Macaca mulatta: one gene and its partners. The protein of the gene in region 2 purifies or fractionates together with the protein of the main gene of each other region. This does not show direct contact. Links are inferred from orthologs where the notes say so. Each region holds a gene or a part of one and is shown on either strand. Other genes may lie near its edges. The genes, in order: PRKAR1A, GSK3B, GSKIP, EPB41L3, PRUNE1, PPP2CA and YAP1.

Region 1 (4,152 bases), on a different chromosome or scaffold from region 2:
AACATCTGACATTCCCTACACGTAACTTCTATCCCATGGGAGTGTCCTAATGTCACAGAGCAAACCACTGGAGTGAGGATTTGATTAGCCAACTACTAGCGTAATCAAAATTTTTAAAAACACGCAAGAACATTCAGGTGAGTTTTAAAAGCAACCTTTTATTATTCCAGAATCGTTTGCCAGATTCCACCCCTAAATGATAATACACTACTGGTAAAAGAAGGAAAATCCTAAGTTGGGGGAGGGAAGAATCCTTACCACGTAAACTGTAAAACATTTGGATAGAAAATTGTCAAAATATTTTCTTCATCTGGACAGGTGAATGTTAAAACACTTAAGTTTCAAACTTGCATGAAGAATCAATAGATAAATTGCATTTAATGGATTACATTTAACGGATAAATTGCATTTAATGGATTTTAGAGGATTCAAATTATGGTACCTTTATGTAAAGTAAAGCAAACAGAGATAATAATGAGCAGCTAACCCTACCCTGGAATTAAAAATTTAGTAACTTAACAACAGGGTCATATATTGTTTTTCTTCCAACTCCTAATTACTAAGCACTTAAGAGTAGAAGACAAGAGTGTGGTCCCCTCCACTCAGCAACTGAATTCAATACTAATCAGACTTTTCCAATTATAATGCATTGTAAACTACTGAGATGAAACTGTACATTTAAAAGAATTTATAGAAAGAAATACCAGAGTAAAGAGCTATTCTAAAGTGCTACACTGTCAGTCATTTTGTCTTGACAACTTTCACCATAAAGGTCAATAACAAGTAGACTAATGAACAAACTATTAGAAAATTTGTGGCTCCAAGACAAGCACATAAATTAGAAGCCATGGAAAAAGAATCATGCTGCTACTTTAGAAATAAACAGGCAACAAAAAAAAAAATTAGGATTTATACATGCCACTTCTCCAGGTCAGGCAATCCTATGAACTGAAAATCCACTTCAGCAGAATTGTCTGCATTTCAAGTAATACTTGAAGACCACCAAGAACAATCATAAATCAGATCTTTCATGCTTCAAAACACAGTCATATTTCAAGAACATTCAACCGATCATTCTAAGATCAGGTCTTTGGCTGGTAGAGATGAGAGAACTGGGCCTAAGGCGTGAAACTGTGCTTTTGTTTGAAACAACTAATGTATTACAAAAACCAAAAAGATAGCCAGTATACGAACAGAAATGTCCCAAGATTAATGCAGTCACCATGTAAATCCCTGAATAATCAGATTTCACAGTCTTAATATTTTTAATAGAGTTACCTGGATTCTCTATGTGTACTTATTTGTAAAAGCCCAACAACCTAGCCTTCCCTCCCCACACACAATTATTTAACTGCTTTAAAACACTCGCTGCATTGTCTCTATACCCAGATTCATTCATTTGAAAATGCAGTTGTGACAAAATTGCTTCGAAAGGATTACATTCTGGGAAATAAATAAAAACACTTTGAGAAACTGTTCCTGATTCAGACCGCACCCCCTTAGACCTGCCAAGTTACGGCTTCCCTGGGGTCATCTTGAGGAAGTGTTTGCTTTCCTTGCTCTGCTGAAAAGACGGATCTCTTGGGACTCTCTGAAGGAATAAGACGGTCGTCACCACAGGCTCTGACCTGAAGGGGTTAATAGGTACCGTGTATTTTCTAGAGGAAGGGCAGGAAAATGCCCTTCACTTCACGTAGGCCACGGTCATGACCACAAAATGAAGAAGGGAAGCCGAGACTTCAAGCTACGCCAGTCGGAAGGCCACAGTGGTGGCGAGGACGCCTTAGGCAGAAAAATCGGGAAACGGAGGGAGGTGAAGGGGGACAAAAGGAAATTCAGGAGCCCGACTAAGACCGTCGTGCTGGGGGAAAGATCACCTCGCTACGGAGAGGAAAGGCTACTGCTAGCAATGACTAGGAGCCGTTAGAGTGGAGAGGAAAACTGCCGGCTTACAAGAAGAGCCAGGACCGGCGGACAAAACGATGGCGGACCCCAGCAAAATAGAGCCGTTGTCCTTCAGGAAATGGGGGAGGGTGAGCGAGGAGGCCGCGGCGCGCGGGGGCGAAAGCGGCCGGGGAGGGCCGCGGAGGGCCCAGGGCTCCAAGCGCCGTGGGGTGGGGGCAGCGCGCGGGAGCTGGGCGGCTGGGAAGCCCCGTACCAAAGCCAACGCCCAGATGGCCTTGGGGATGCAGACTCGGAGCTGGGGGCGTGAGGCCTGAGGGGAGGCGCCCGCCGGGTCGGGGAGGGGCAGGGGGGTGCGGCCGTCCCCCCCGCAAGTCGCTCCCCGTGACGCCATCTTGGATCGGTCCAGCTCCCCCAAACGGGCGGCGAAGCGACGAAGCTCACCTAGCCTGAGCCCCCGACTGACCCCACTCACCTGGGGACGGGCGGCGGCGGGCGCGAGGCTGCGGGTGCGAGGTGGCGGCGTACCGAGCTCCCTCAGCGCTTTGCTCCCAGCCCCGCTCCACTCTGCGATAGCGGCTAGGCGACAGCTCCACCGGAAACGGCCTGGCCGCAGCCAATCAGCGTTCGGCTGCTGACGTCAATGCGCCTCGCTCTGGCCAGAGCCGTCGCCTTAGCAACCTTAAGGGCGCAACAGCCCCAGTTCCTCCCCCGTCGCTCTTGGAAGGACCCTCACTCTGCAGTCTTTCGCCTTCCGCCATTCATTCCATCTTACTCGTCCCTTATCCACAGCAGTTTTCTCACGCCCGCCACTTCTCCTTTCCGCACTCTCCCTAGCCCGGTTTTCTCCTCCTTCCTGCTCACCTGCCCCTCCTTACCTGTCCCTCTCTGGGTGTCTTGGGTCGCCTCTGTTCCTCCTGCTCTTCGCTCCCTCTCCGCGCAGCTAGCGTGAGCTTCCCTCTAGTCCCTCCGCTCCTCTGTCCACCCCACTCTCCCTCCGGCCTCCCCCGACGCCTCTGCCTTTTCTCCCTCCTTTCCGCCCCCTCCCCGGCTGACCCACGTGGGGCGTCTCGGATGACAGGTGGGCGACTCCGCCCCGCGGCCCCTGCAGGGGAGGGCTCCGGGCCGGGGCGGGGAGAGTCCTGGCGTTGCCAGCCCCCGGAGGAGGTGGCTGCCCCCGCGGATCTGCAGCAGCTGCGCCGCGGGGCCGAGCGCGGGCGGATGCCCGGGATGCGCTCTCCGTGCTGCGCATCCTGTGCCCGGCCAGCGCCGTCCGGGCCCCGGGCTCAGGTCCGTCATCCGGTCCGGGAAACCTGAGCCCTGCCGAGTCCCCGCTGGGCCGACACGGCCGCTCTCCCCGCCGGGCGTGCTGTCGTCTGTGCAGGCCACACCGTCCCTGTGGAAACCAGGCACGGGAAAGGACTTTGCCCGGGTCCTTCTAGAACCTGAAGTGCCCCCCCCCTCGCCCATCACTCCTGACCTCACAGGGGGAGAAATGCAGAGCGTGCAGATTGCCACAAACGCCCTGTGACCTAACAAGAAATCGCAGCTGTCCGTACAAGCTGCACTAATGGGGGAAATTCGGAGGAAAAGCGACTTTACTCTTTCAGCCATTTTTTTTTTTTTTTTTTTTTTTTTTTCCCCATCAGAGTATCTGTCTCAGGAGGAAGAAAAGGGAGACAGGGTACAGTTTTAGACACATGAAGTCTCTAACTGAATAAAGAAAGCCCATCAAGGACACATATCCAAGTGTTTGGCTGGGGGCTGCTGTAGTAGCATTGTATATATTTCTAGGGCTGTGTGCTTAAAATTCGTAATGAATTCAACACGATACAAAAAAGCAAAATACACATGCAAGTGTCTAGGAGCTGTTGTAGTAACATTGTATATACTTCAAGGGCTGTATGGTATGTTTAAAGTAAATAATGAACTCAACACAATACAAAAAAGTATCTCAATAATGTTTATACTGATTCCAGATTGAAGTGATATTTTTGATATATTAGGTAAAATATTATTAAAGTTAATTTCACCTTTGTTTTTTAATTCTTAATGTAGCTATTAAAAATTTTTAAGTTACACAGATGGCTCCCATTATATTCCTATTGGACAGCGCTGCCCTCGGAGGCCGACTGCTCCCCCCAAATCCACCAGGACTCTAAGGGTACTGTCTGTCAGATGATTTATTTAGTTATGTTACTCACTGCCTTCTGATAGTCAGGGACACATAGGCGACATCAAAAGGGCAAT
Region 2 (4,477 bases):
GAAATTACAGGAACCACTGGATTACAATCAGGATGGCAACTGTCTGTTCTACTTTCTCTCTCTTGACGTAGCCATACCTCACTGTTCTAAAGCAGACCAAAGGAACTGGTTCTATCGTAGAACAATGGACGCTGGTCTTACATATGAAATCTATTCAAGCTGCACTTTTATAGATCACCCTAATTCCAAAAGATCCAAAACTACCACGGGCTCCTCTAACCCCCCATTTCCTTGGAGGCTTCAGGATATCCGGCCTGACGGCATTTCCCCTCACCTGCTTTCGGGGCCCGTTTTGCGCTGGGCAGTTGCGCCCAAGGAGCGCGCGCATCCAGCATGAGCTCATTTCTCATGGGCGTTTCCAGAGGCCCGGCCGGGCCGCGCACACCAAGCGCAGCGGGCCTCTCTATCAATGGCCCCCGAGGCTGGGCGGGGCGCGGCCGCCCAAAGAAGCTTTGTTCCCATTTTAGCGTCTGAGAGCTTGCTGCCGGCTGGGAAGGCCCCCTTTGTCCGTCAGGCCCTTTCGGGGAAGAGGCCGACACCCGGCACACGCGATCCAGGGCAGAGGGGAGCCTTAGGCGCGCAGAATTGGCTGCGCCCCGCCGAGAGCCTCCTGTGGATGGGGAGAACCCCTCGACCCCTCTGCTCGCTTGAGCTCTTAGAACCCAGCGCCGCCGACCGCAGCACTTTCCGATTTGCTGCGCCTAGGGCAGGCGGTCCCTATGTGCGGTTTCCACCGTAGTTGGAGGCCGCAGGCGAGCCGTCGGGTCGTCAGCCACGACCCTAGTCGGGCATCTCCCAGGTCCTGGGACGGAGGCCGAAGGCCAATCACACTGCAGCTAAGTCTTGCGATTGGACGGCAGTGAGAGCCGATTGGCCACCGCCGCGAGTTTCGAGCTCCACCCTCTCCCTTTTGCCCCAACTCCAGCGCCTAAGCTTCCGGCCAATGAGACGGCGCTTTATAGACGCCCTCCCTTCGCTTTCTTCTCCCCACCTTGGAGAGGGAGGGGAAGTCCTGACTGGCCAAACTGTCCTCGGAAGCCCCCTTCCCTTCACCAATCACCGAGGGAGGTACGCTCCCAGCGGAGTTTTCCAGCCAATTACAAAGCGGCGGCGGCGCCCAACCGTGCAGTTTCACCAGCGTCTCTGGGTTTCACCGTCTTCAACTCTTCAAGCTTTTTCGTGAGGGCCGGCGACTCTGATTGGCCACTGTTGCCATTGTCGAATGTCTCCTCCAGCCAGCCACCGAACAAGGCGAAATCACCCTTTCCGTTCGGCTGCCTTCGGCATTTTCCGCTCTTTGGGCGTGGCTTTCCAGCGTCACTTTCTAATTGGTTTCTCAGGCCGATCGGCTTTTTCCGGGAGGAGCCGCAAACAAACGACGTCCGTGATTGGCTCCGTTCGGGCTTCGGCTCCCAGCCGAAGCGGGCGAGAGTGGGGCTCGGGCGGCGATTCCCAGACGCCTGTTACGCGGGCGGCGGTGCGCTGGGCGGTGTAAGGCTGGGTGGGGGAGGAAGGAGGTGGAGGAAGAGTAGGAAGGGGGAGGGGGAGTGGGGAAGTGCAAGGCGGCTGCGCAGACAGCGCTCCTCACACAGAGCAGCCCCTGACCCGGGCGAATGCGGGCTTGTGCCGCCGCTGCCGCCGCCGCCCGGGCCGAGTGACAAAGGAAGGAAGGAAGGAAGCGAGGAGGAGCCGGCCCCGCAGCCGCTGACAGGGTTCTGGGCTGGGGGCAAAGCGCGGACACTTCCTGAGCGGGCACCGAACAGAGGCGAGGGGCGGGAGGGCGGCCGAGCTGTTGCCGCGGACGGGGGAGGGGGCCCCGAGGGACGGAAGCGGTTGCCGGGTTCCCATGTCCCCGGCGTATGGGGAGCAGTCGAGGAGCCGCTGCCTGGGGTCTGAAGGGAGCTGCCTCCGCCACCGCCGCCGCCATGGCCGCTGGATCCAGCCGCCGCCTGCAGCTGCTCCTGGCGCAATGAGGAGAGGAGCCGCCGCCACCGCCCGCCTCTGACTGACTCGCGACTCCGCCGCCCTCCAGTTCGCCGGGCCCCCGCCGTCAGCCCGCCGGATCCCACGGCTGCCGGAGCTGCAGCGTTTCCCGTCGCATCTCCGAGCCACCCCCTCCCTCCCTCTCCCTCCCTCCTACCCATCCCCCTTTCTCTTCAAGCGTGAGACTCGTGATCCTTCCGCCGCTTCCCTTCTTCATTGACTCGGAAAAAAAATCCCCGAGGAAAATATAATATTCGAAGTACTCATTTTCAATCAAGTATTTGCCCCTGTTTCACGTGATACATATTTTTTTAGGATTTGCCCCTTCTTTTCTCTCCTCCCAGGAAAGGGAGGGGAAGGAATTGTATTTTTTCCCCAGCCGTAAATCATCTATATGTTAAATATCCGTGCCGATCTGTCTTGAAGGAGAAATACATCGCTTGTTTTGTTTTTTATAGTATACAAAAGGAGTGAAAAACCAAGAGGACGAAGTCTTTTTCTTTTTCTTCTGTGGGAGAACTTAATGCTGCATTTATCATTAACCTAACACCCCAACATAAAGACAAAAGGAAGAAAAGGAGGAAGGAAGGAAAAGGTGATTCGCGAAGAGAGTGATCATGTCAGGGCGGCCCAGAACCACCTCCTTTGCGGAGAGCTGCAAGCCGGTGCAGCAGCCTTCAGCTTTTGGCAGCATGAAAGTTAGCAGTGAGTATTGATTTTATTTTACGCCCCTTTTCCACTTCGCCCTTAAAATAAGAAATCTCGGAATACCAGGATCTGAAAATATTAGACTTCCTAATATAACAAACAAGCAATGGAAAAGGGCAAAACCTATCTTCAGTCAAGGATGAAGCAGCTCCCTCTTTACTCCTCCCATACCCCCTCCCCCGGTCTCATTAACCTTGAATTGAGATAATATGATTTTTATTTGGATGATTCGATTTGAAACTGCTTTCTTATACTTTTCTTGCTGTTGGTAGTGAGTTTCATCAAGTGCTTGAGTGTTTCCACGTTAGTGATGACCGTGTTTACTTGCCCATCCTTTAGAATAAAGAGAAGGACAAGATTTGATTAATAAACCATTGTGCACATTTGCAGAATGTATGTCTTTTGGAATAAGAGGGTATTTTAGGTCTCAGGATTTATCATAGTTTGGTATACTTAATAGAGACATTAAACGTCCCACCCTCCCAACATTTTTTTCTTGTCTGTATGACTACACATAGTATTTGTTCTTAATCTGTGGATGAACTTGCTCAGTAACCATTCACATTTGGAGGCTGTCATTGATTTCTCTCTTTAGAAGGGACTAGTGGGAGCCAATAAATACCCAGCAGCAGTAGCATCTCTGTATGCATTTGTGTTCGATTGGATTAGTGGTTTGATGTGTTCTCTCTTAACCTTCCTGTTTTGACATTACCAACCTGCCACCGTATAATTTATATTTAATCAAAAGGTAACATAGAAGTATTAATAGGTCCAGGTTTTGATTGAGATTTGTTTTGTCATAGTGCCAAATAGTAAGTTAAATGTTGTCACTGGCTCATTACATTTAAGTTCAATTTTGGAGTACTGTTGCGCTCCTGTTAAATGTTCTGGAGGGTTCCTTAAAAAGGACGATTTAAAATACTCTTGCGTTAGTTTCCATCACATTTAGATAACTGTGGATTTAGTTAGAAGAATGTGGCTTTAGTCCTTTCCATTTTGGCTTTTGCAGATGGCTGTGGTCCTGGAAATAATAGGGATATTTGGACTGTGTTCAGGGTTGTAGATAGACTACTCTTGTCCTGGGTTTGTGCTGAGAAGTATGCTTTTGAAGTGTTTAGTATATACTAAGTATCTAATGTTCCAGTGTATCTCTATTTATGGAGAAGTTCATGTGGTGTTTAATGACAGCTTGTTTAAACATACTTTCAGAATTTAACAAAAATATCTATGTTGTTTCCTTATTGTGGGAAAGAGGGTCATCATGAGGGCAAAGAAATTACTGTGTTGCTTAGAAGAACGGAGAGAACTAAAGAACTGAGATTTTAAGAACTGACACACACAAAAAACATGTATGTTATGTGAAATTGATTATATTCTTAGGCAACATAAAATGATCACTTTTAGTTGAACTCAAGATTTCATTTCGTGTTGGCTTTGGGAACTAGCCTGAAACAGGGTAGTCTAGGTAATAGCTGAATGGGAGATTATTTTTCAAAGTTAATTTTTTTTTCCCCCGGTGGTTTGCAAGTAGAGAATGCCGGGGTAGGAAAAGAGGACAGCTGATTATGCATCTTTCAGGGAAGGGTCGTGCTTTCTAAGCGCTTCATGGAGTCATTTGAAAAATATTTTAAAATTCCGGGGTAATTTTCAGCTATGATGATACAAATCTTATAATAACTACTTAAGAGCCTCTGTTGGTACTGGAGTGTTTGTATGTTTTACATCTTGGTAATATAGTTTGAAAACCAGTCAATCAATTTCAGCTAATTGATTTATTAGCTTTATT
Region 3 (4,349 bases), on a different chromosome or scaffold from region 2:
TTATTTAATAGCTGCTGAAAGAAGTTCAAATCGTATCTATTTGTCAGAAGTCTATTTCAAACCTTCCAAAGCCTATTCTAATTTATTGCCGGATAAGATCCCACCTTTGACTTTTCACACCACCTTGCTTATATTCCTTTTATGGCAAATATTAGAATTATTATTTGCAAACATGTTTTATCTTCAAAATATATCCAGAATCCAACAGCTTCTAACTAATCATCTTCACTGCTACCATTTTGGTCCAAACCACTGTCATCTTTTCCTTGGATTACTACTACGATATCCTTCTAACTGGTTTTGTTGTTTTCACTCTGGTCCTCCCACTTCCACACCAGACTATTCTTAACATAGCAGTTAGCATGATCCCATAGAAACTGAGGCCATATTACGTCACTTCTCTCCTAAATCCACCTCACCCAGAGTAAAGGCCAAAGTTCTTTTTTTTTTTTTTTTTTTTTTTAAAGACAGAGTCTCACTCTGTTGCTCAGGCTGGAGGGCTGGAGTGAAGTGGCATAATCTCCGCTCACTGCAACCTCCGCCTCCTGGGTTCAAGCGATTCTCCTGCCTCAGCCTCCCAAGTAGCTGGGATTACAGGTGCATGCCACCACACCTGACTACTTTTTAATATATTTTTGGTAGAGACAGGGTCTCACCATGTTGGCCAGGCTAGTCTTGAACCCCTGACCTCAAGTGATCTGCCCGCCTTGGACTCCCAAAGTGCTGGGATTATAGGAGTGAGCCACAGTGCCCGGCTCCAAAGTTCTTATCAAAGGCCCAGGAGGCCCTACATGATGTGCTTCCTCTGCGCCCCCAGCCCCCAACTGCCCAGCTTCTACTTTTTCCTTCACTCACTCCTGATGTTCCCTAAACTCATCAAGCATTCTCCTGTGACAGCACGTTGCACTTGCTGTTCCCCTTGCGTGGAAAACAACTCTTCCAGGTATACGTGTGCCTCACTTCCCAGCTTTCTCCAAGTTTCTGCTAAAATGTAATCTTATTAAATAAGAGAATGTCTCTTACCATCTCATATAAAAATGGCAAGTCCCTTCTCTCTTCCCCATCTCCATCCCCTTTACAATGCTTTTGTTTTTCCAACAGCCCTTATCACCACAAAGCATATTATTCACTCATTGATTGCATGTTTCTCCTCCCTTCAATAAAACGTAAGTTCCGGGAAGGAAGAGACTTATCTGTTCACTGCTGTATCCCCAGCACCTAGAACAGTGCTTGGCACACAGAATGCAATCAATAAACATTTACTGAATAAATGAACAAACTTCCACTTTATTATTATTTTTTAAAGAGACAGGGTCTTGCTCTGTGGTTCAGGCTGGAGTGCAGTGGCATAATCGTAGCTCGTAAGATCCTTTCTGATATTTGAAATTGCAGGCAGTCTATGGATAGCCTGAATGCAATTCTGCAGCCTCAAACTCCTTGGCTCAAGCGATTCTTCCGCCTCAGCCTCCAGAGTAGCTGGGACCACAAGCAGGCACCACCATGCCCAATGACCTTCCACTTTAGAACATAAACTCCTTGAAGGTTCTGCCTGATTCTTGATACTGTTCACATCATCAACTGTGGTGACGTTCATTTAACAGACCTTAACAAAATTTTTGAGTGAAGAGCAAGGGAATCTAAGTTACTGAGAATACTTGGGGTAAGTCTACAAGGAATTAGGGGAATCAACAATCCAAGCAACTGCATACAGAGCACCCTGATTCTAAAACGAAAAGGTGGTTGTGGAAAGCGGAATCAGATGTTTCTCCATCTATCAACATTTTGGGCAGTATTTCCAAGGCATTCATGAAAGTTGCTGAGACAGTAAATATTTCACTCCTTAAACTGCTCGTCTTAATTCACTGGGATTAAACAGCTGTATGTTTCAGGACTCTGTTCAGGTTCGTGCCCTACTCATATCATTTAATCTTCCTAATAAATCCATGCACATAAGATTTTAATCCACTGACACTGGGCAAAGGAGGCAACGTGGACTCGGGGAGGGCAGTGGCCGGCTCAAAGTGGCTGGGCTAATAGGTGTCAGTGCCAGGATTCTAACCCAGGACATTTGGCTTCTGGGCCATCGAACACCGGCACCCAGGCCTTTCGAGGTTGACTAACTTAAGAGCCGGCTCCGCCTCTGCAGGAGTTGCCTCCCAAAAGGCAGAAATACGATTGCGCAGACGACCAGAACAGCCCAAGTTCTTCACCCAGGTTCCCGCGGGATCAGGAGCCTTCAACATTTCTCAAGGAATGCAGTTTTGCCCACAGATGCTTCGAAAACCCAAGTTTCCTGATCGTTGGTATGACACACCCAGGATTAAGCGAGCGTATGCGAGAAGCGCTCTGCAAACCGCCAGGCGAACGGCAACGAAGAGGAAGCCTCGGAAACAATACCTGAACGAGGCGGGGGCTGAAGAACTTGCTGACAATGGGCACCGGTCAATGCTTGGGGGCGGGCGGGGATGTTCAAGAAGGGCTCCAGTCCTCCCCGCGGAGACGGCGGAGCCCCAAGCGTGCGTTTCTGGGGCGCCGAGGTCTGAGGGGGGGCCGGGAGAGCCAGGTCGGTCTTAACAAGCCCCCAGACCCCTCTTAACACCGGCGCGGGGCCCCTGCAGCCTGCCGCCCCTCTCGGCCCAGCCCGCTGCGCGGCGTCGCGTCCCCGTCCGGAAGGCCCCACGGCCCGCCGGCGCCCCGAGCCCCTAGCCCTTGTCAGAGGCCGCCCCTCGCCCGCAGCCCGCCCGGCGGCTGCTTACCTGCGCACCCGGCGTCCTCTGCTTCTTCCCTCCGGAGGCGACTGGAGCCGACCGGCGGTGCCGCCCCCTCCCTCCCCGCCCTCGCCCGCCCCGCCCCCTCGGAGCCGGAACTGCTCCAGCTCCCGCCCTTCTGCCCGCCTTCCGCGGCCCCCTGTGTGGTGTCACTTCCGCCAGCGCCCGACGGCGCGCCGGGAGTCTGGGTCTCGCGAACGCGCCGGAAGCGTCCCTACAGCCGGGAACGCGCCTCGCGGATGACAACAAATTCGTCGCGCGGCGGCAGTGGAGGTGTCTGCCTCAGCCTGTGCCGCCTCCCCTCGCGCTCTCTTGCACTTTCTCTGAGCCGGTTGGGATCTCCCTCGGAAGTCCCCTGGCCTGGGGCCAGGAGGACCCCACTGCGTCTTGCCTCCGCCAGGCCCAGCGCGAGCGGCGCGGCGCCGGCGATGGGGTCTCCCTGAGGAACTCCCGGCGCCAAACAGCGATGAAGGGGCCGCCCCAGGCTTAGGCCCCGCCGCGGCCTGGAGCCGGAGTCGCTACCCTGAGGCCGGAGCCAGCGCCACCCGCAGCCGCAGTCAGCCCAGCTGCCAGCAGTCACCATGCCTTGGCCGTTTTCGGAGTCTATCAAGAAGCGGGCCTGCCGGTACCTCCTGCAGAGGTACCTGGGCCACTTTCTGCAGGAGAAGCTGAGCCTGGAGCAGCTCAGCCTGGACTTGTACCAAGGCACCGGGTCCCTCGCCCAGGTCCCCTTGGACAAATGGGTAAGAGCTGCCGGGCAGCCAGCCGGGCGGGGCTCGCTCCCCTCTTTAGGGCGCTTTGAACCGGTGCCATCCAAGATTGGTGACAGTCATTCCCTCCTTGGGAATTGTTTGGACCCGAGTGTGGCACGGCTCAGATAAATGTGTTAGAGTGTTGTTTAATCTGTTTAACAAGTTTGCTCTCCTGAATCACGTGTTCCGGAAACTTAACAGATGTAATGGAATCTACACTATGGGAATAATTGAGTCAGTGCTTCGGGGGGTCTGTGAAGCAGGCTCAATAGGTCCGTGGGAGGAGGTGACCAGAATTGTCCCTTGGGATGTGAGGGGCCGCAGGGTTTTGTGGCAAACAAACCCTGCCTTGTGCGATGACATTCTGGAACGATTAAGGATGAAGAGGACCTCTGGATGTCAGAATCCCTAGTTATTGGTTTTGGGTTGGCCACTTGCACACCATGTTTGCCTTGTTTGTCATCGTGCAGCGTTTGCCATCTGGAAGAAAGTTAGGTGAAGGCCTCCTGTGCCGGTTTGCCTGCTTTTGCTTGATTATATGTTTACAAGATAGGTTTGTGTACCCAGCCTGTGAATGGTCGTGTGGCCCTAGTAGTGCTGTTGAGTTACGCCTCTTTGCTTCACGTGACAGATCGTAAAAGCAGGTGTTGCAAAAGCGCTGAAGCTGCAATTTTCAGACATTTTAAAACCTGTCTTCTACTTGTCATCTAGAGGCTGTGAGTTCACTCATTGGTATACAGGTGCTTCATCTGAATTTCAACTCACCACATACAGTTGTACCTGCATTTGGGTGTTCAATGCATAATATTTTACTTAAAGTATATTCACT
Region 4 (4,314 bases), on a different chromosome or scaffold from region 2:
GGCAATGTCTTTAATTATAGGCCCTGCTCTACACAAATGTTTGTTGAACACCTACTAAGTGCCAGACTCTGGGAATAAAAGAATGAGAAAGAACCCTGCCCTCAATAACTTACATTCCACTAAGAGCTGTATTTCCATTATTGGGATTGAGAGGTCATAGCCTAGTTGCAAACTTTCGGTTTTATACCTCTGCTCCTCAGTACTGAGAATGTTTTCCTACGGTTACCACACATTCTAAGAAGACTATTATCTAATGTTACAAGGGAGGCTCTTTGACCCCTTGGTGTCACAAGTCTGAACTGTAACTGATCCAACTGGGAACTGCCTAGGCAAGTAAGGGAAAGTGAAGACGGAGACTCCCAAGGTCATTTCAGAACCGACCTGAACTTCACTCTTTCCTCGTTCTAGATTATGTGTAATGATACGGGCACACTGGAGCCCACCCCACCCCCACTCCCCAAAGCAGCACAATTACAGCCTGGGAGGGGCAAGTCTTGCGGTGTCCCTCAGTAACTGCCATTATTTGAATGCGATATAGGAGCTCCCACATAGACCCTGCTCTACCGGGTTAGAATCTGTTTCTAATCACGTGGAATTTAGATTTAAACCATAGTTAGATTTGGGATTCACCACCGTTTCTACTTTCATTCATTTAGTGGCTTCCAGCCCTCTCCCGGCCCAGTCTTAGCACTTCAGAGGGAATTACACGGGAGTTACGGACTGGCAGGGGCGGGGGGTCCACCAGCTCCCTGTGAGAGAGCGCCAAGGGCCAGGGCAGCACCTCCCGGCTGGGTTGGGTCCGCCTCGCCTCGGGGATCCTTGGCGCTCAGCGCCGCCCTCCCGCGACTGCGCTACCCGCCGGAGCCCGGCGTCTTCCCTTTCCTTGTCTTGTGGACGCCGCCCTTCGCTCCCGGGAGGATTTCGCCTCCAGCACCTCAGGCTTTTCTGGCGCAAAGGTCGCCAGCCGGAGCGAGCCCAGGCGGCGGCTTCACTTCTGCAGAAGGAAAGCGAAAGCCGCGGCGGGCGGGCCGAGGGGGCGGCCGAACGCGCCGCGTGGCCGCTGTTCCCGAATCCGCAGCGGCGGCGCCAGGGCGGTCACCGAGCCCTGCGGACCCCGGCTCAACTTCCAGCGCCACTCGGGTGCCCCAAGCCCGCCGCAGCTCCCCGCGCGCTCTCCAGCCCCCCCACGCAGCCCCCGACGCGCCCGGGGCGCCCTCCCGCAGCACTGGCCAGGCCACCGCACCTCCCGCGCGGCGCTCCCCCGGCCAGCCAGGAGCTCCCCGGCTCCGAGCAGGACGCGTCAAAGGGAGTTCGGAGGTTCAGCAGCCCCCAGCGTCGGCTTCTCGGGTGACATGACGGCCTCTCTGGAGCGCGGGCCCGCCTCCGCCAAGCCTCCACCGCCGGTCCTTACAGCCCAGCCACCGGAAGATGCAGCGCCGGGCGAGGGGCGCTCCCAGGATTTTGAGAAACAGCCTCATTCGCCTCGGGAGCACCTCGATCCCCCACCCGCACCCTTTGGCCAGATGATTTTAATCCTGGGATGCCGCGTTGGTGGGGGGGGACTGGGAGCTGGAGCGGGAGGAGAGAAACCGGCAGCGCGGAGTTGCAGCTGCGCGCCGCTGGCGGCGAGGGGTGGCGGTCCCTGCGGCTCTGCCGGGCTGGGGGAACGGGCTCCTGCGCCTCTGCCTCCCGGAGGATCGCATTCGCTCATCCTTACAAACCGCACACACACACACTGCCGCTAGCGCCCCCACGCCACAAGCAGGAATGCGGAGGTCAAAGCCACTGTCCACTTGAAAGCAGGAAAGCAGGGGCAGAAACACTGAGATGGGGGCGGAGGCTCTGGCCTCATCGGCGAGGTTCGCACCTTCCCAGGCTTCCTAGTTTCCCCAGAGCTAACAAGATCTGGCTTCTGACACTCCGCTCTCTGGGCTAGCGGTTCGAGCTGCAGGGGCGGGCGGGGACGGATTCGGAAGGAGCACTAGAGAGAGAGCCCGCGCTCACTCCTGCCCTCCTCGCAAAGAACTGGCCAGCCCCACTCGCGTCCAGCCCACAACTAGGCGGCGGGGGCCGGGGACCCAGACCCCAGGTCGCTCCAACTCCTGCGAGGGCGGGGAGGGGAGTGACAGCAGCAACCACTGCGCGCGCTGGCAAAAAGCACGGAGTCTCCGAATAGGCTAAACGGCGGGCGCGGAGGGGTGGAGGCAAGACGGGGCGGAGGAGGAGTTGCCCGAGCGGAGAGGAATGACGTCCTCCAGGGCCTTGGGCTCCGAGGGACCGAAGACTGGTGCGCTCGCCGGGCCCCGCGCACTAGCTCTGGGGTTCGCAGAGGCGCCGCGCTCGGCTCCCACGGCGGCTCCAGCACAGAGCGCAGGCGGTAGATCCCGGCCAGCTTAAACCGGGCGCAAGCCCTCTGTCCGCCTCAAAGCACCTCTCTGCTCGTCCCTAGTCTCCAGGTGCCGGTCCGAGAGTCCCTGCCGCTTCCGGGCGGACCCGGCCCGGCAGCCCCCGGTCGGGCCAGCCTCGCCCCTTCCTTGCTTTCTCCCCCGTCGACCTCGAGCCAAGGGCAGGCGGCCCGCACCCGCGCCCCTACCCACGGGGCTAGGCGGCGCTCCCGGCCTACGCCCGACTGCCAAGAAGGATGGGGCACTGGAAGGGAAAGGCGCTCACCTGGGTCACCGAAGCCTTCCTTTGGGGCCCCTCCCGGAGCTTGTTGGCAGCCCGCGGGCACAACCTTCCTTGGAGGAAAAAAGTAGCGCAAGGGCAGAGTGAGGTAGGGCTGCTCACAGGTCCCTCCGCAGGGGCTCTTTCTTGCGAATTCTCCGAGGTCCAATCTCGGGCTCGGCGGCGGGAAAGAGCTCCTGGAGGCTGGAAGGAGCCGCCAGACCCGGGCTCCTCCCGCAGCTGCGGTGGCGGCACCTCCAAGTTGCCACCTGCAGCGCGCTTCGGGCGCCTGTGACAGCCCGCGCCGCTCAGCCCTCGCCGGCCCGCCCTCCCGGTCCTCTCGTTGGCTGCGCCCGGCGCCCGGGCGGTCCCGGCGCTCTGCCCCGCCCTGAGCCCGCCCTCGAGCCGCGCGCTCGCAAAGTGTGGGTCTCCTTACAGGCCTCCCTGGGCTTTATAGCCAGCGGTCTCTGCAAGCAGGGAAAGAATTACACACACACACACACACACACACACAATTTTGTGTAGCTAGGGACTGGAGGGAAAGGAGAGGCTATGATAAATGTCCTTTCGTGTGCCTTAAGGGGACCTGGTAACTTGGTTTCTTTTGCTGGTATTAAATTTTTGCAATCTCTGAAAAGAGTTAACTTCACAGCGGCGGTCTGGGGATGTAGGCCAGAAAGTGGCTTGGGGGCTGTTTCATTTAAGCATCATCCAACTTCACATGAAGCGCCAAAATATGAAGAGCAGTGTAGACCCAGCTTGCACCCTTTTCTCACCCAGCCTGCACCCCTGCAGCGGCGGATCCCGCAGTTCCAGCGCCTGCAAAGCCATCCCCACTGGTGCCCACGGGGTTTCCAGGCCTGAAGGCTCAGTATGTCACATGCGTGTTTGCTTGATTCTGTGGCCTGTGAGTCCAGGCCATGAGAATATATGCCCGTGCACACTAAAAACGAGACCTGTGCTTTCTACAACTCTTGGACCTTCTAAGTAAACAAAGGGAACATTATCTTTCTTTTCCTTCCACCTCTACCCCAAAGACCTGGACAAGAGTTCACTGCACAGTCTATCCCTGGGCACTCAGGCCAGTCTTCACTCACTCTGCCTCCTAGTAGCTCCTGGAGGCGTGCTTTCTGGAAAACGGATTTCGTAAAGCGTTCTGGAGGAGGAAAAGCTATAAAATATGACAATCACAAGTCTGGAAAGCCATCCAATCAACCAGAAACGTCTGACTCTTGGGTGTATCTATGTGAAAGAGGTACATTGCCAAGTGCCTATTAGTTTAATAACATTTTGAAATTAACTGCCCAAATAGCACATTTTATAGCCCATTAGGGAAATGTCTAGGTTTTGAGAGTGCAGGTGTTGCACTGTTAAATGAGACTGGAGTGTGCACATGCAGCTCACATCTAGCTGTGTTTTGTGGAATCCTCAGCAGGCTGAGGCAGAGGAAAGAGGCTTTCTATAGGAAGTCAGAGGTGGCGCTACACAAGGGCATATTGGAAACACTTGGCACCAGTCAAGAAGCCACACCCTTTCAACTGTTGGTAAGTAACTTGGAAGACTGCTGCATAGCACTGGTTCCTTGCATCAAAGCAAAGATTTTGTTCCATGAGACCCTATCATCTTGGGTCCACTTTGGAAATTAAAAGC
Region 5 (4,123 bases), on a different chromosome or scaffold from region 2:
GCAACGGGAGACTTGGCTGGATTACCAGCTGTCTTTATTCTGTGCAAAGAAGAGCATTCATGATTTTCTGAAAGTTATAATTAAACTGTAGTTTAACAGGAACATTCAAACTTAAGAATGTATCTGTCTAAATCATCTCTCTCTCTTTACACAAGAAACTTAACAGGGTGTCCTCTGGAGAACTGGATGGAGAGGAGAGAAGAAAAATGATCTTTATCTTTTTCATTCCATATCCCTTTGGTATTTAAATTTATTCATAAAGTACACATTTACTACTTCTATAATTTAAAGCAATCTAGGCTGGATGTGGTGGCTCATGCCTGTAATCCCAGCACTTTGGGAGACCAAGGCAGGCAGATCACTTGAGGTCAGGAGTTCGAGACCAGCCTGGCCAACATGGTGAAACCCTGTCTCTACTAAAAATACAAAAATTATCCAGGCATGGTAGCGCAAGCTTGTAATCCCAGCTACTCAGGAGGCTGAGGCAGAAGAATCGCTTGAATTCAGGAAGTGGAGGTTGCAGTGAGCCAAGATTGCACCACTGTACTCCAGCCTGGGCGACAGTGAGAGTTCATCTCAAAAAAAAAAAAAAAAAAAAAAATTAAAGCAATCTAAATTGTTGGCATCTACCAGTATGTCTTGCCATCAGTTCACCTGTTAACCTTCCTAGAGTCTAATTTTCTCATTTCTCCAGGCCCTGGAGAGGCTATGTGATGATGAAAGCTCTAAGACACAATCTCAACTTTCACAAGTTCACAAGTTTGAAAGAAGAGCTAGATCTTGCTCCTTGGGGGATGAATGCAGGTAGAGAAAGGTCAGGATTCCAGCAATATTGGAAAAATCAAGTATTTTTCCAGCTTCATATTGCTGTAGAGAATATACTATTAGGGCTGGGTACAGTGGCTTACACCTATAATTCCAGCACTTTGGGAAGCCAAGCCAGAGGGATTGTTTGAGTCCAGGAGTTCGAGACCAGATTGGGCAGCATGGCGAGACCCTGTCTCTACAAAAATACAAAAAATTAGCCCTGCATGGTGGCACTGCCTATAGTCGCAGCTTTTTCGGGAGGCTGAGGTGGGAGGATCACTTGAGCCGGGGGGAGGATCACTTGAGCCGGGGAGGTGATCACACCATTGCACTCCAGCCAGGGCAACAGAGTGAGACCCTGGCTCAAAATAAATAAACAAATACAAAATAAAAATAGAGAATATACTGCTAACCTGGGGGTGGGGGGAGGCTCTGGAGGATATATGTTGGAGAATAGATGCATGCAAAGAAATACTATTTAGTGAGGTTTCAGGTCCAAGGGCACTTTACCACTTGGTGGAAGAGACCAGTCATTTGGGTTACTGGGGGGGGGGAATCCAACTGTTTAGCACTTAGAATGGTGCCCCCAAAACTCTACATTAGTCCTGTGGTGGAATCAGACGTAACAAAAAGGGATTGGTTCCAAATGGCCTTATGCATTGAAATAACTCCCCAAATTTGTTTTTCACAAGGAAAATGTCTATGTAATTGGTGTTAAAATGGACCTTCTCCCCAATTCAATATGAAGACAATTCATTTATTCCAGCAGCTGAGTCTGCAGCAGGAATTAAGTGACTTTCAGGATTTGTTAAAGAACAGAATCTGTCCCCCAGGGGAATTTGTTGAGTTTCCGATATCTAAAAAGGAAAGCTCAGCAAGCCATCTGTCTAGGTTTCTTCAGGGCAATATAACTCAAAGTAGAGGGGCCGGGTGACCTCCTGGAGTCTGTCTCTGGTTAGCTTTTTGCTGCTAACTGGGGATAACAGCCTAATGCCTCATGACGGCTCAGCATGGCTGGGTGAGTCCAACTGGCTCAGAGAGCACCAAAAATAAGCCACAAAGCATTCAGTAGTCATATTTATGGTTTTGATTCTAAACACACTTTGTGCTTATCCCTTCCAAGTGGAGAATTTTTATGTAATGTGTGTGCGTTAAGGCCAAAGGAGAAACCTGGAGGCAAAGGAATGCTGGTTGTGGGTCAACAAATATGCCTGATGGATTATGTATGCTTGGTTTAAAAACACTGACTTAAAGTAAAATACCGTGACTACTTCTAACTTAGAAATGAGTTCAGCCCGCCAGACAGAAACCGCCATTCAGAGGAAATAAAGCCGTGAGCACCGGTTCCCTCCACACCCGCGAGGTTCACCTGGAGGCCAGTGGGCCAAGCGAGGCCTTGGAAGCGGAGAACTCAAAGAGGGGCGGGGAGAAAAGAATAAACACACCTCGCGGGGCTCGGCTGGCGGTCGCACAGTCCTGGTCCTTTTGACGGAACTGACCGAGATGACAGCAAGCAGAGGCTCAAATGCAGGATTCAGACCCAAGACTTCTCCCAGCTCTCGGGCGGACCCCAAAGGCGGGGAGCCAAAAACCGGGAGACTAAGCAAGCAGCATTCTCACGCTCCTAAGCTGGCTTCTCGCTCCTCGCTCCTCATGCCCCAAACCTGATCAGGCCCCAACCCCCCTCCCCACAACTCAGTGTTCCCTCCACACGGACCGTCGAGGCTCCCCAGATCCCACGTCTTCGTCCTTCCTGGACCCCGTGCTCCATTCCTTACAGTCACATACAGGGATCGGTTACCTGTAGAGCAGCTCGACAATCCTGAAGGTAGTCCTCCATGATGAAGCCCAAAGTACGCCGTCGCCCCTGGTCGAGGAGAGGTGCCCGTGGTCGAGGAGAGGTTTCCCCGGCGAATGCACCCCGCCCGGGACTCAGGGGCTAGAGGCCAGAGTCAGGAGGCGGGACTCGAACCCGCCACACGGCTAATCGGCCTCCGACCCCGGGAGGAAGTGCGTAACCGGGTGCTCCCGAGCTTGGCGTCGCCCCTCCCCCAGCGGCGGAGGCGGGGCTCTACGCCCAGAGGCTCCTGGGACGTCTTTCCGGAGAGGCCAAGTGGGTGTGGCGTGGGGCGACGTGGGAAACGTAGTCCTGCGGCTCCGCAATGTCCCTAGCTACCGAGGGAAGGAGCGTTTTCTGAGGGATCCGTTGTTTGGTAAACAAATGTGTATGTGTCACAGTAACCCATTATTGTGGCATCTGAACTTTCCCTCTCAGATCAGGCTAAGTATAACATCTTTCCATATATCACACCGAGCATCCGGTTGACATTTTAAATGACACTTGGCAAAACAGATCTTCTTTCCCGAAATTCTGCCTTTTACCAAACTGATTCAATCTCAACCAGTTTTGTGGTTGTTCATGTTAGGAGAACATTAGAATAATCTTTGACCCCTCTTGTTTACCTAACACCTACAGTCTCCTGCCAACTCCTGCTGCTTCTCCCTTTGCAACTCTGTAGCCTGTTTTTTTCCTACAGCCTCCGCAAATATCTTCTCCTTCCTTTCTTGGACGGTTGTAACCTTGACTTTTTGCTCTCTGCCACCCTAATTGTTCCAACTGCTCTTTCAGCCTTTAGAGTTGCTTGAAGTTTCATCCTGTGGCGGCCCTGTACATAGAGTTTTAGGGAACCCTTCAGAATGTAGAGTTAGGTTCCAGCCTCCCTTAACTGCCACTTTGCAGCCGCAGGGTAGTGCAAGTACTGTAAATAAATGGACACTCATCATCAAAAATTCCCTCATTTATTTATCTATCGCTTTATTTCCTACCATCAGCCTCACACCAGCTTTTCCTGCTTCCCCAGCTGTAAATCGAGAGGAGGTGACTGATGAGAGGCCTGTGGTGGAACCACGATCCAGAGCACAGGGGTGTTGGATCGCCTGCCTGCTCTGCCAGTTTTTTCTTCTTCCTCTTCTTCTTCAGACGGAGTCTTGCTCTGTCATCAGGCTGGAGTGCAGTGGCAGGATGTTGGCTCACTGCAACCTCTGCCTCCCGGGTTCAAGTGATTCTCCTGCCTCAGCCTCCCGAGTAGCTGGGGCTACAGGTGCGTGCCACCACGCCCTGCTAATTTTTGTATTTTTAGTAGAGATGGGGTTTCACTATGTTGGCCAGGTTGGTCTTAATCTCTTGACCTCGTGATTTGCCCGCCTCAGCTTCCCAAAGTGCTGGGATTACAGGCGTCAGCCATCGCGCCCAGAGCCTGGGGCTTCTTCCACACCCTCTGCACTCTACCAGGTGCACAACCCAACCAGTTTCATT
Region 6 (2,960 bases), on a different chromosome or scaffold from region 2:
ATCTTATACTTGTAACGCCAACACTCTGGGAGGCCAAGGTGAAAGGATCACTTCAGCCTAGGAGTTTTGAGGTAAGACTGGGCAATATAGTGACACCCTCTCTCTCAAAATAAATAAACAAACCAAAAACCTACATATTCAGTAATGCAATAAAATGTTCAAGTAGAAATACTTACAAAGAGTATTTTAGAGTATCGTCAAGTTCCATGATTGCAGCTTGGTTACCACAACGATAACAATAGTTTGGAGCACTGAAAATTGTTACTACATTTCGGTCATGGCACCAGTTATATCCCTACAAGGAAAAGGAGGCAAAAATCTTACTTTACTCCCTCAATTCAACTAAATGCTACTTCACTCAAGAGAGAAAAAAATCTCTACTCATTCCCACCCCTGCCAAAGGGGCTTAAGAAATGTTAATACTTTTTTTCTGGTTGACTTAATAATTTGCTGTACTTCATACAACCTGTAAGATACATACGTATTTGTTTTCCCCCTAATTACAAAATTTGCTTTTAGTACTAAAAAGAAAAAAAAAAAGCCTTTAACAAACAGTGGCGACCACCGAAGAATGAACTGCTTCTCATGTATCTGCCTTGCTGTAAATGATGGTGTCTCATTAGCCTCTTCTATTGCAGTGGTCTTAAAACATGATTTAAGAATGAGTATTTAAGTGGCCATTCCCTAGAGAAGTAGATACCTAATCCTGGAGATCAGAACCTTACCAATTTCGTCAGTTACAGGTAAAGGCCTGTAAGTCATTCACTGCCCAGGAACAAATGTGATATGCCTCTAGGATCTCCAGCCTTGTTTCCTCAAAATCCATCCATCTGAATGCATGAGCTACTTTTGTTACTTTTTGTTTAGTATTGTTCACAAATTTATTTATCTTTAGCAAAGTCAGATTTTATTGATAACCACAGAGTTGTACTAGTATTAATCTAATTAGCACCTTATTTTAGAAACATGCTAATCAGTGTGCATGTCAAGAACCTTTGCCTCTTTCCCTTCTCTTCTTTCAAATTACCTGTAATCCTACCATCCAAAGGACCACTTAGAACATTTTGGTGTATTTCTTTCCAGTCTCTCCTACATACATACATGTTAAATATATGAAATGACATTGGGATCATAAAATATTATATACACACCCCAACTCCCTACATCTTACTTTCCCACTCTTAGATCCCAAGTACTTCCTAGTCATTCAGATTTCTCTGGAAACATGTTAATGGATTCATTGTAATCAACAACTTGAGCTTTTAATTCTAGTAGTGTGCATCTACTGAAAAGGCTCAGGCTATAATGGTAAACTCATCAGAAGGAATAGATGGAATTTCTCACAAATGTCATTAATTTAAAACTCCCTAATATCTTCTCTCCTTAAGTTTACTAAAAAACAAGTCATATTTCAAATAATAGAAGCATACCTCCATCACTAGCTGGTGAGCTCTTGACACCAACGTGAGGCCATTGGCATGATTAAATGTCTCTGAAATATCTTGCCCAAAGGTGTAACCAGCTCCTCGAGGAGATATTCCCCAACCACCACGGTCATCTGGATCTGACCACAGCAAGTCACACATTGGACCCTAAAAAATAACTTCGTTATAAAATGCCTTTTACAAACATGGTTAACACATTATTTGAGTAATTCATCAGAAGCAGCACCCTAAGTCACCCTCTTTGAGTGATGTTTGTGGACAACGCTAGTAGATTATGCAGTTGAAGTCAAACATCTGCATCAAGTAATATGTATTTTCCAGTAGACTTTATGAGACACAGCTGACATCCATGGGACCCAGCAGTAACATGCCTTAATTAATCTGCCTATATTATGCAAATTTCAGAGTCTAAGACAGACAACCTAGGTCCTAATAAGCCCAGCTCTACAGCTGCTGTGATCTTGGCAGGTTTCTTAATGTCAGCTTCTTCTGAACAATAGGGCAGACAAGAGTGTTCACACCTCAAGTTGTTTTTGAGAATTATAAGAGAGAATACATCTAATGATCTTATAATTAAACCTCTCCACTCTTTAATAAGTTTTCTGGAAAGATTTTATCAAATAAAAGTCATACCTCATGGGGAACTTCTTGTAGGCGATCAAGTGCTCTGATATGATCCAGTGTATCTATAGATGGCGAGAGACCACCATGTAGACAGAAGATCTGAAAAGAGTGGTTTAAAAGGTTAACCTCACCTAAAAAATTTGTAAACATTCTTGGCTGGGCACAGTGGCTCATGCCTGTAACCCCAGCACTTGGGGAAGCTGAGGCAGGAGGACTGTTTGAGGCCAGGAGTTTGAGACCAGCCTGAGCAACACAGCAACACCCTGTGTCTCTATAAAAATTTTTAAAAAATGAGCTGGACGCCCCCATCACTTGGCCCCTCTGGTGTTTCTGTGCTCTGCCTGAATGAGGCCTGACTTTGCAGGATTCAGCTTTGCTCCAGCCCACTCTAAACGATTGAGTACACTCCCATTCTTCCTAATAGAACATCACTGTCACACCCAGACTCCACCTCAAACAGCTCCTTTGAGAAAACTTTTTGGATATCACTCCTGCCCCCTGCCAGAGACTAGTATCTCCATGCTCATAAAATTTTATTATAAGTTCTTTTGTGTGCACAATAATTAGTTCCTTACATCTCCCAGACTTGTCCAAAAACAGTCTGAGAGAATAAATGGGCTACATCATCCACCCCTGTGATCCCATCATATAGTTCAGTGCCTGATATAAAGAATAATGCACTTTAAAAAGCTGGACACATTTGTCAAATTAATTTTTTAAAATTTGAATGAATGCTATCAATATCTACTAAAAAATATCCCTAAAGGGGTATAACAGTGGAAAGAGTCAGGAGCACCTGAACATTAAAGGAAGTTGATTCTCTGAAATAATCAGCAATGAGTTTTAGATCCACATACCTGCCCATCCACCAAGGCAGTGAGAGGAAGATAG
Region 7 (3,694 bases), on a different chromosome or scaffold from region 2:
GATGTCAGAACTCAAAGCTTCCTGCAGACTTGGCATCAACTCCTCTCCTTCTATGTTCATTCCATCTCCTTCCAGTGTTCCAAGGTCCACATTTGTCCCAGGAATGGCTTCAAGGTAGTCTGGGAAACGGTTCTGCTGTGAGGGCAGGGTGCTTTGGTTGATAGTATCACCTAGTGGAAACACACACAGAGAGATAACAAAGTCCTTTTTGAAAAGCTAACATCAGGGCTGTATCATATGAGCATACAGAAATGCACAGGGAAAGAAAAGCGCTCCTGACTGACCTAAACTGATACCTAGAATTTATATCAGGTCAAACAACTCACAGGTAACAAGATAACAATGCCGAGTTTACTTTTGCTTCAACATTTGTTCAGATATCCAATAACAGCTCGATTGCTATTATGTGCTGAGCACTAAAGGGAGTCATTAAAAAAATAAAAAAGTCCTTGAAAAATTATATGCAGCAGGGGGAGAAAGAACAAGAACACAACACAACAGCATCACTACCCTGTCTTCCAGATAAGCACCACCATAATAAGACTAAACATAAAAACGAGTGGTATAGAACTTCCTTGGTCTTAAAAACACTTTGGGAAACATTAAAATAAAAGGACTGCATGAATACTTTATTCCACCCTTATGCACCTTCATAACAGCAAAACAAGCTTCCCAGAGGGCTTTGAAGAAATACATCTTCTTAGCCTTGCTTCTAGGTTTCCCAAACTTACTCCGCCACAGAGCCTTTTTTGCATATGACAACATTAACATTCCTCAGAGCTTCAATAGAACATACTTTCAGAAAAACTAATATAAATCATTAAGTGCTATAGGGATCTAGAGAAGAGAGAAATACAGATTAGAGAAGTAAAAGTGTGTGTGAAATGGGTTTGAAGTGGCTCCTAAGGATGATTTAAAATCTAGGTAAGCAGAGAGGAGGGGGTAGTGTGGATTCTAGAAAGCATCAAAGCCAGGAGCTGGATGAGTACAGGCACAAAAGCCTTGCTAAACACTTTCAGAAGAGAAGCAGTTAGCGAAAGAGCTGGTAGCTAAAGAACAGCTTCATTTCCCTGCCAATTCATGCAGTCTGGCAGTTGTCAAGTTTAAGGCAATGGTTGCCAGGTAAGCCACAGGAGAAATGCTTCCTTAATTATCCCTGTGAGGCAGGTATTTCTTAGCTCCTGCAAGACCCCTGTAACTATTCCTTTTTTTTTTTTTGAGACAGAGTCTTGCTCCGTCACCCAGGCTGGAGTGCAGTGGTGTGATCTCGGCTCACTGCAACCTCCGCCTCCTGGGTTCAAATGATTCTCCTTCCTCAGTCTCCTGAGTAGCTGGGATTACAGGCGCACACCACCACACATGGCTAATTTATGTATTTTTAGTAGAGACAGGGTTTCACCATGTTGGCCAGACTGGTCTTGAACTCCTGACCTCAGGTGATCTGGCCACCTCGGCCTCCCAAAGTGCTGGGATTACAGGTGTAAGCCACCACACCTGGCCTTCTGCAACTATTCTAATAAAGTAAGTGGGCCCCACCTCCTAGTCTTTCCCATCTGGTTTCCTGAGCCCCGTAACACCTAAGGTGGACCAAAAACTCTTAAGAGAAAAGATGAAAACAAACACTGAATAACATGTAGACATTTCTCAAAATTAAGGACACAAATCCATAATAAGGAGAGAGATGTTCTAACGGGCACTTGTTTGTCTTGCCAATTAAGATCAACATGCTAATGTAAGTCATGCTGCCAGAGTTTTATTCAAATAGAGCTAATATATCCAATTTATGATTTTTTTTTTTTTTTTTTTTGAGAACGGGTCTCATTCTGTCACCCAAACTGGATGGAGTGTAGTGGTGTGATCACCAGGGCTCAATCCATCCTCCCACCTCAGCCTCCTGAGTAGCTGGGACCACAGGCACGTACCACAACACCTGGCTTATTTTTGTATTTTTTTGTAGAGATGGGGTTTCACCATGTTGCCCAGACTGGTCTTGAACTCCTGGGCTCAAGAAATACGCCTACTTTGGCCTCCCAAAATGCTGAGGTTACAGGCATGAGTCACCGCACCCGGCCAATTCATGATACATATTTTTTTAAACTAGGAAAATACCAGTTACAAATCACCATATAGAGACAAAGCAGGCTCAATTTAATTCGAATTTACAGGATTTTAATTGGTTTTCTTCTGAATAATCTTTGCTTACAATACCTTATTAGACCTGGTGATAACATATCCGACTGTAAGTCAGGCTACTAAGAGGAATAAAGAATACCAACCTGTATCCATCTCATCAACGCTGTTCAGGAAGTCATCTGGGGTGCGAGGGACACTGTAGCTGCTCATGCTTAGTCCACTGTCTGTACTCTCATCGCGAGAGTGATAGGTGCCACTACAAAAACATGACAGTTAAAGACCAACACAAAAAATTTTAAAAATCAATTCAAGGTAAAAATAAACACCTGCTGAGTACCAACATAATTCTCAAAGAGGGTTAGTGAAAATTCCTGCTCTGCAATGTCTGAAACAAGCCCCTCCCTCAGGGCCGTAGACAGGGCTTGTGCTATGAAGTGAAATAGACAAGTTAATCCTAATTGAAGCTAGCAGCCCTAAAGAGCCAAGATTTCTCCTAAGGTTCTGTGCTTGATGACAATAAGGGACAAAAAAAGGTACCCCCAGTTAGTTTTCCTGGCTGGCAGACAATTCTCTGCATGAGTATTCTCCTCTCTGTAATACTATTTGAATCTGGAGGTGGGGAGGAACCCACACAACTTACTTGTCCCAAGGTCTCAATTCTCCAGGTGGTGGTGGCACAGACAGAGAGGTCAAAACACAAACTCCAGGTGGGCGAGGAGACAGGTCTGCACTAGATTCAAGTTAAATTCCTAGCTCTTGTGCAGAGAACATAAGCCAAGGAAAAATCAACCCCAAATAAACCACCAGAATTCCTTTTAGGACTGAACCAAAATAGATGAGTCACTGCTGATAAGATAAGAATACTCATGGCTTGATCTCCTTGCTTCTGTGTTTGGGCGGGGGAGGAAAAACCCTCAAACACTTTAGTACGAAAGGAAACGGGAGATCATATAGCTCCAGTTAAAGAAAGAGCAAGACAAAAAACTGCAAGGCACATCCCTTGAAAATAAAATGACCCGACACAGATTTTCACTTTAGACTAAGCAAGGTTTCCCAGATTTACATTCATGTATGGTAAATATCCATTACTCTGATAAATAGAACACTCTCCTAAGCTGGTAGCATCTAGACATCAGCGGGCATTCACTGAGGTCTACTAACTCTAGAAAATTCTCAGTTCTACTAACTCTAGAAAATCTTGGAGAAAAGCATAAAATCAAGGCAGCTGTTATTCTTCAATGGTCTGTGTACATGTGTGAACTTTAACTTTCTCTATAGATTGTACATTTAAAAGCAGCTATTTAACTTACATAAAAGTTAAAAAATAAAAACAAGTTTAACAATTGCTCAAGGCTACAAGCTCAGTCAGTACCCCAACTGCCTTCCCTAAATGATGCAATGCGTTTGCCTTGTTCTTTCTCTCCCCTCATTCTATATACTGCAATCACTGGTTTACTCTAATGCTTCTGCCAGATTTTGCCAATGCTCAAAAGCTTCACACAGATCCAAGAAAACACATACTTGCCTCTGAGACCACTGATATACAATGCAGCCATGGATG

The links.
Region 1: the proteins of GSK3B (region 2) and PRKAR1A purify together in Homo sapiens (affinity purification with mass spectrometry; 3 studies listed by BioGRID and IntAct, with this or other methods). This does not show direct contact. The link is inferred for Macaca mulatta from reciprocal best matches to the Homo sapiens genes GSK3B and PRKAR1A.
Region 3: the proteins of GSK3B (region 2) and GSKIP purify together in Homo sapiens (affinity purification with mass spectrometry; 10 studies listed by BioGRID and IntAct, with this or other methods). This does not show direct contact. The link is inferred for Macaca mulatta from reciprocal best matches to the Homo sapiens genes GSK3B and GSKIP.
Region 4: the proteins of GSK3B (region 2) and EPB41L3 purify together in Homo sapiens (affinity purification with mass spectrometry; 4 studies listed by BioGRID and IntAct, with this or other methods). This does not show direct contact. The link is inferred for Macaca mulatta from reciprocal best matches to the Homo sapiens genes GSK3B and EPB41L3.
Region 5: the proteins of GSK3B (region 2) and PRUNE1 purify together in Homo sapiens (affinity purification with mass spectrometry; 5 studies listed by BioGRID and IntAct, with this or other methods). This does not show direct contact. The link is inferred for Macaca mulatta from reciprocal best matches to the Homo sapiens genes GSK3B and PRUNE1.
Region 6: the proteins of GSK3B (region 2) and PPP2CA purify together in Homo sapiens (affinity purification with western blotting; 3 studies listed by BioGRID, with this or other methods). This does not show direct contact. The link is inferred for Macaca mulatta from reciprocal best matches to the Homo sapiens genes GSK3B and PPP2CA.
Region 7: the proteins of GSK3B (region 2) and YAP1 purify together in Homo sapiens (affinity purification with western blotting; 3 studies listed by BioGRID and IntAct, with this or other methods). This does not show direct contact. The link is inferred for Macaca mulatta from reciprocal best matches to the Homo sapiens genes GSK3B and YAP1.

Annotation. Positions count from the first base shown.
Region 1 is NC_133421.1:78,192,879-78,197,030, reverse strand, and holds the start of PRKAR1A (cAMP-dependent protein kinase type I-alpha regulatory subunit), read right to left. Parts: upstream 2,921-4,152; 5' UTR 2,781-2,920; intron 2,497-2,780; exon of another isoform or gene 2,378-2,496; intron 1-2,377. UniProt on the Homo sapiens protein: Regulatory subunit of the cAMP-dependent protein kinases involved in cAMP signaling in cells.
Region 2 is NC_133407.1:163,632,501-163,636,977, forward strand, and holds the start of GSK3B (glycogen synthase kinase-3 beta), read left to right. Parts: upstream 1-1,586; 5' UTR 1,587-2,600; coding exon 2,601-2,688; intron 2,689-4,477. UniProt on the Homo sapiens protein: Constitutively active protein kinase that acts as a negative regulator in the hormonal control of glucose homeostasis, Wnt signaling and regulation of transcription factors and microtubules, by phosphorylating and inactivating glycogen synthase (GYS1 or GYS2), EIF2B, CTNNB1/beta-catenin, APC, AXIN1, DPYSL2/CRMP2, JUN, NFATC1/NFATC, MAPT/TAU and MACF1.
Region 3 is NC_133412.1:169,670,074-169,674,422, reverse strand, and holds the start of GSKIP (GSK3B-interacting protein), read right to left. Parts: upstream 2,808-4,349; 5' UTR 2,757-2,807; intron 1-2,756. Other genes in the region: ATG2B (autophagy-related protein 2 homolog B), read left to right, coding at 3,350-3,511. UniProt on the Homo sapiens protein: A-kinase anchoring protein for GSK3B and PKA that regulates or facilitates their kinase activity towards their targets.
Region 4 is NC_133423.1:76,749,198-76,753,511, forward strand, and holds the start of EPB41L3 (band 4.1-like protein 3), read right to left. Parts: upstream 2,958-4,314; 5' UTR 2,671-2,957; intron 1-2,670. UniProt on the Homo sapiens protein: Tumor suppressor that inhibits cell proliferation and promotes apoptosis. Modulates the activity of protein arginine N-methyltransferases, including PRMT3 and PRMT5.
Region 5 is NC_133406.1:116,095,786-116,099,908, forward strand, and holds the start of PRUNE1 (exopolyphosphatase PRUNE1), read right to left. Parts: upstream 2,820-4,123; 5' UTR 2,648-2,819; coding exon 2,609-2,647; intron 218-2,608; exon of another isoform or gene 1-217. UniProt on the Homo sapiens protein: Phosphodiesterase (PDE) that has higher activity toward cAMP than cGMP, as substrate. Plays a role in cell proliferation, migration and differentiation, and acts as a negative regulator of NME1. Plays a role in the regulation of neurogenesis.
Region 6 is NC_133411.1:143,102,016-143,104,975, forward strand, and holds part of PPP2CA (serine/threonine-protein phosphatase 2A catalytic subunit alpha isoform), read right to left. Parts: coding exon 2,927-2,960; intron 2,169-2,926; coding exon 2,079-2,168; intron 1,593-2,078; coding exon 1,431-1,592; intron 296-1,430; coding exon 177-295; intron 1-176. UniProt on the Homo sapiens protein: Catalytic subunit of protein phosphatase 2A (PP2A), a serine/threonine phosphatase involved in the regulation of a wide variety of enzymes, signal transduction pathways, and cellular events.
Region 7 is NC_133419.1:103,096,878-103,100,571, reverse strand, and holds part of YAP1 (transcriptional coactivator YAP1), read right to left. Parts: intron 2,390-3,694; coding exon 2,277-2,389; intron 171-2,276; coding exon 1-170. UniProt on the Homo sapiens protein: Transcriptional regulator with dual roles as a coactivator and corepressor. Critical downstream regulatory target in the Hippo signaling pathway, crucial for organ size control and tumor suppression by restricting proliferation and promoting apoptosis.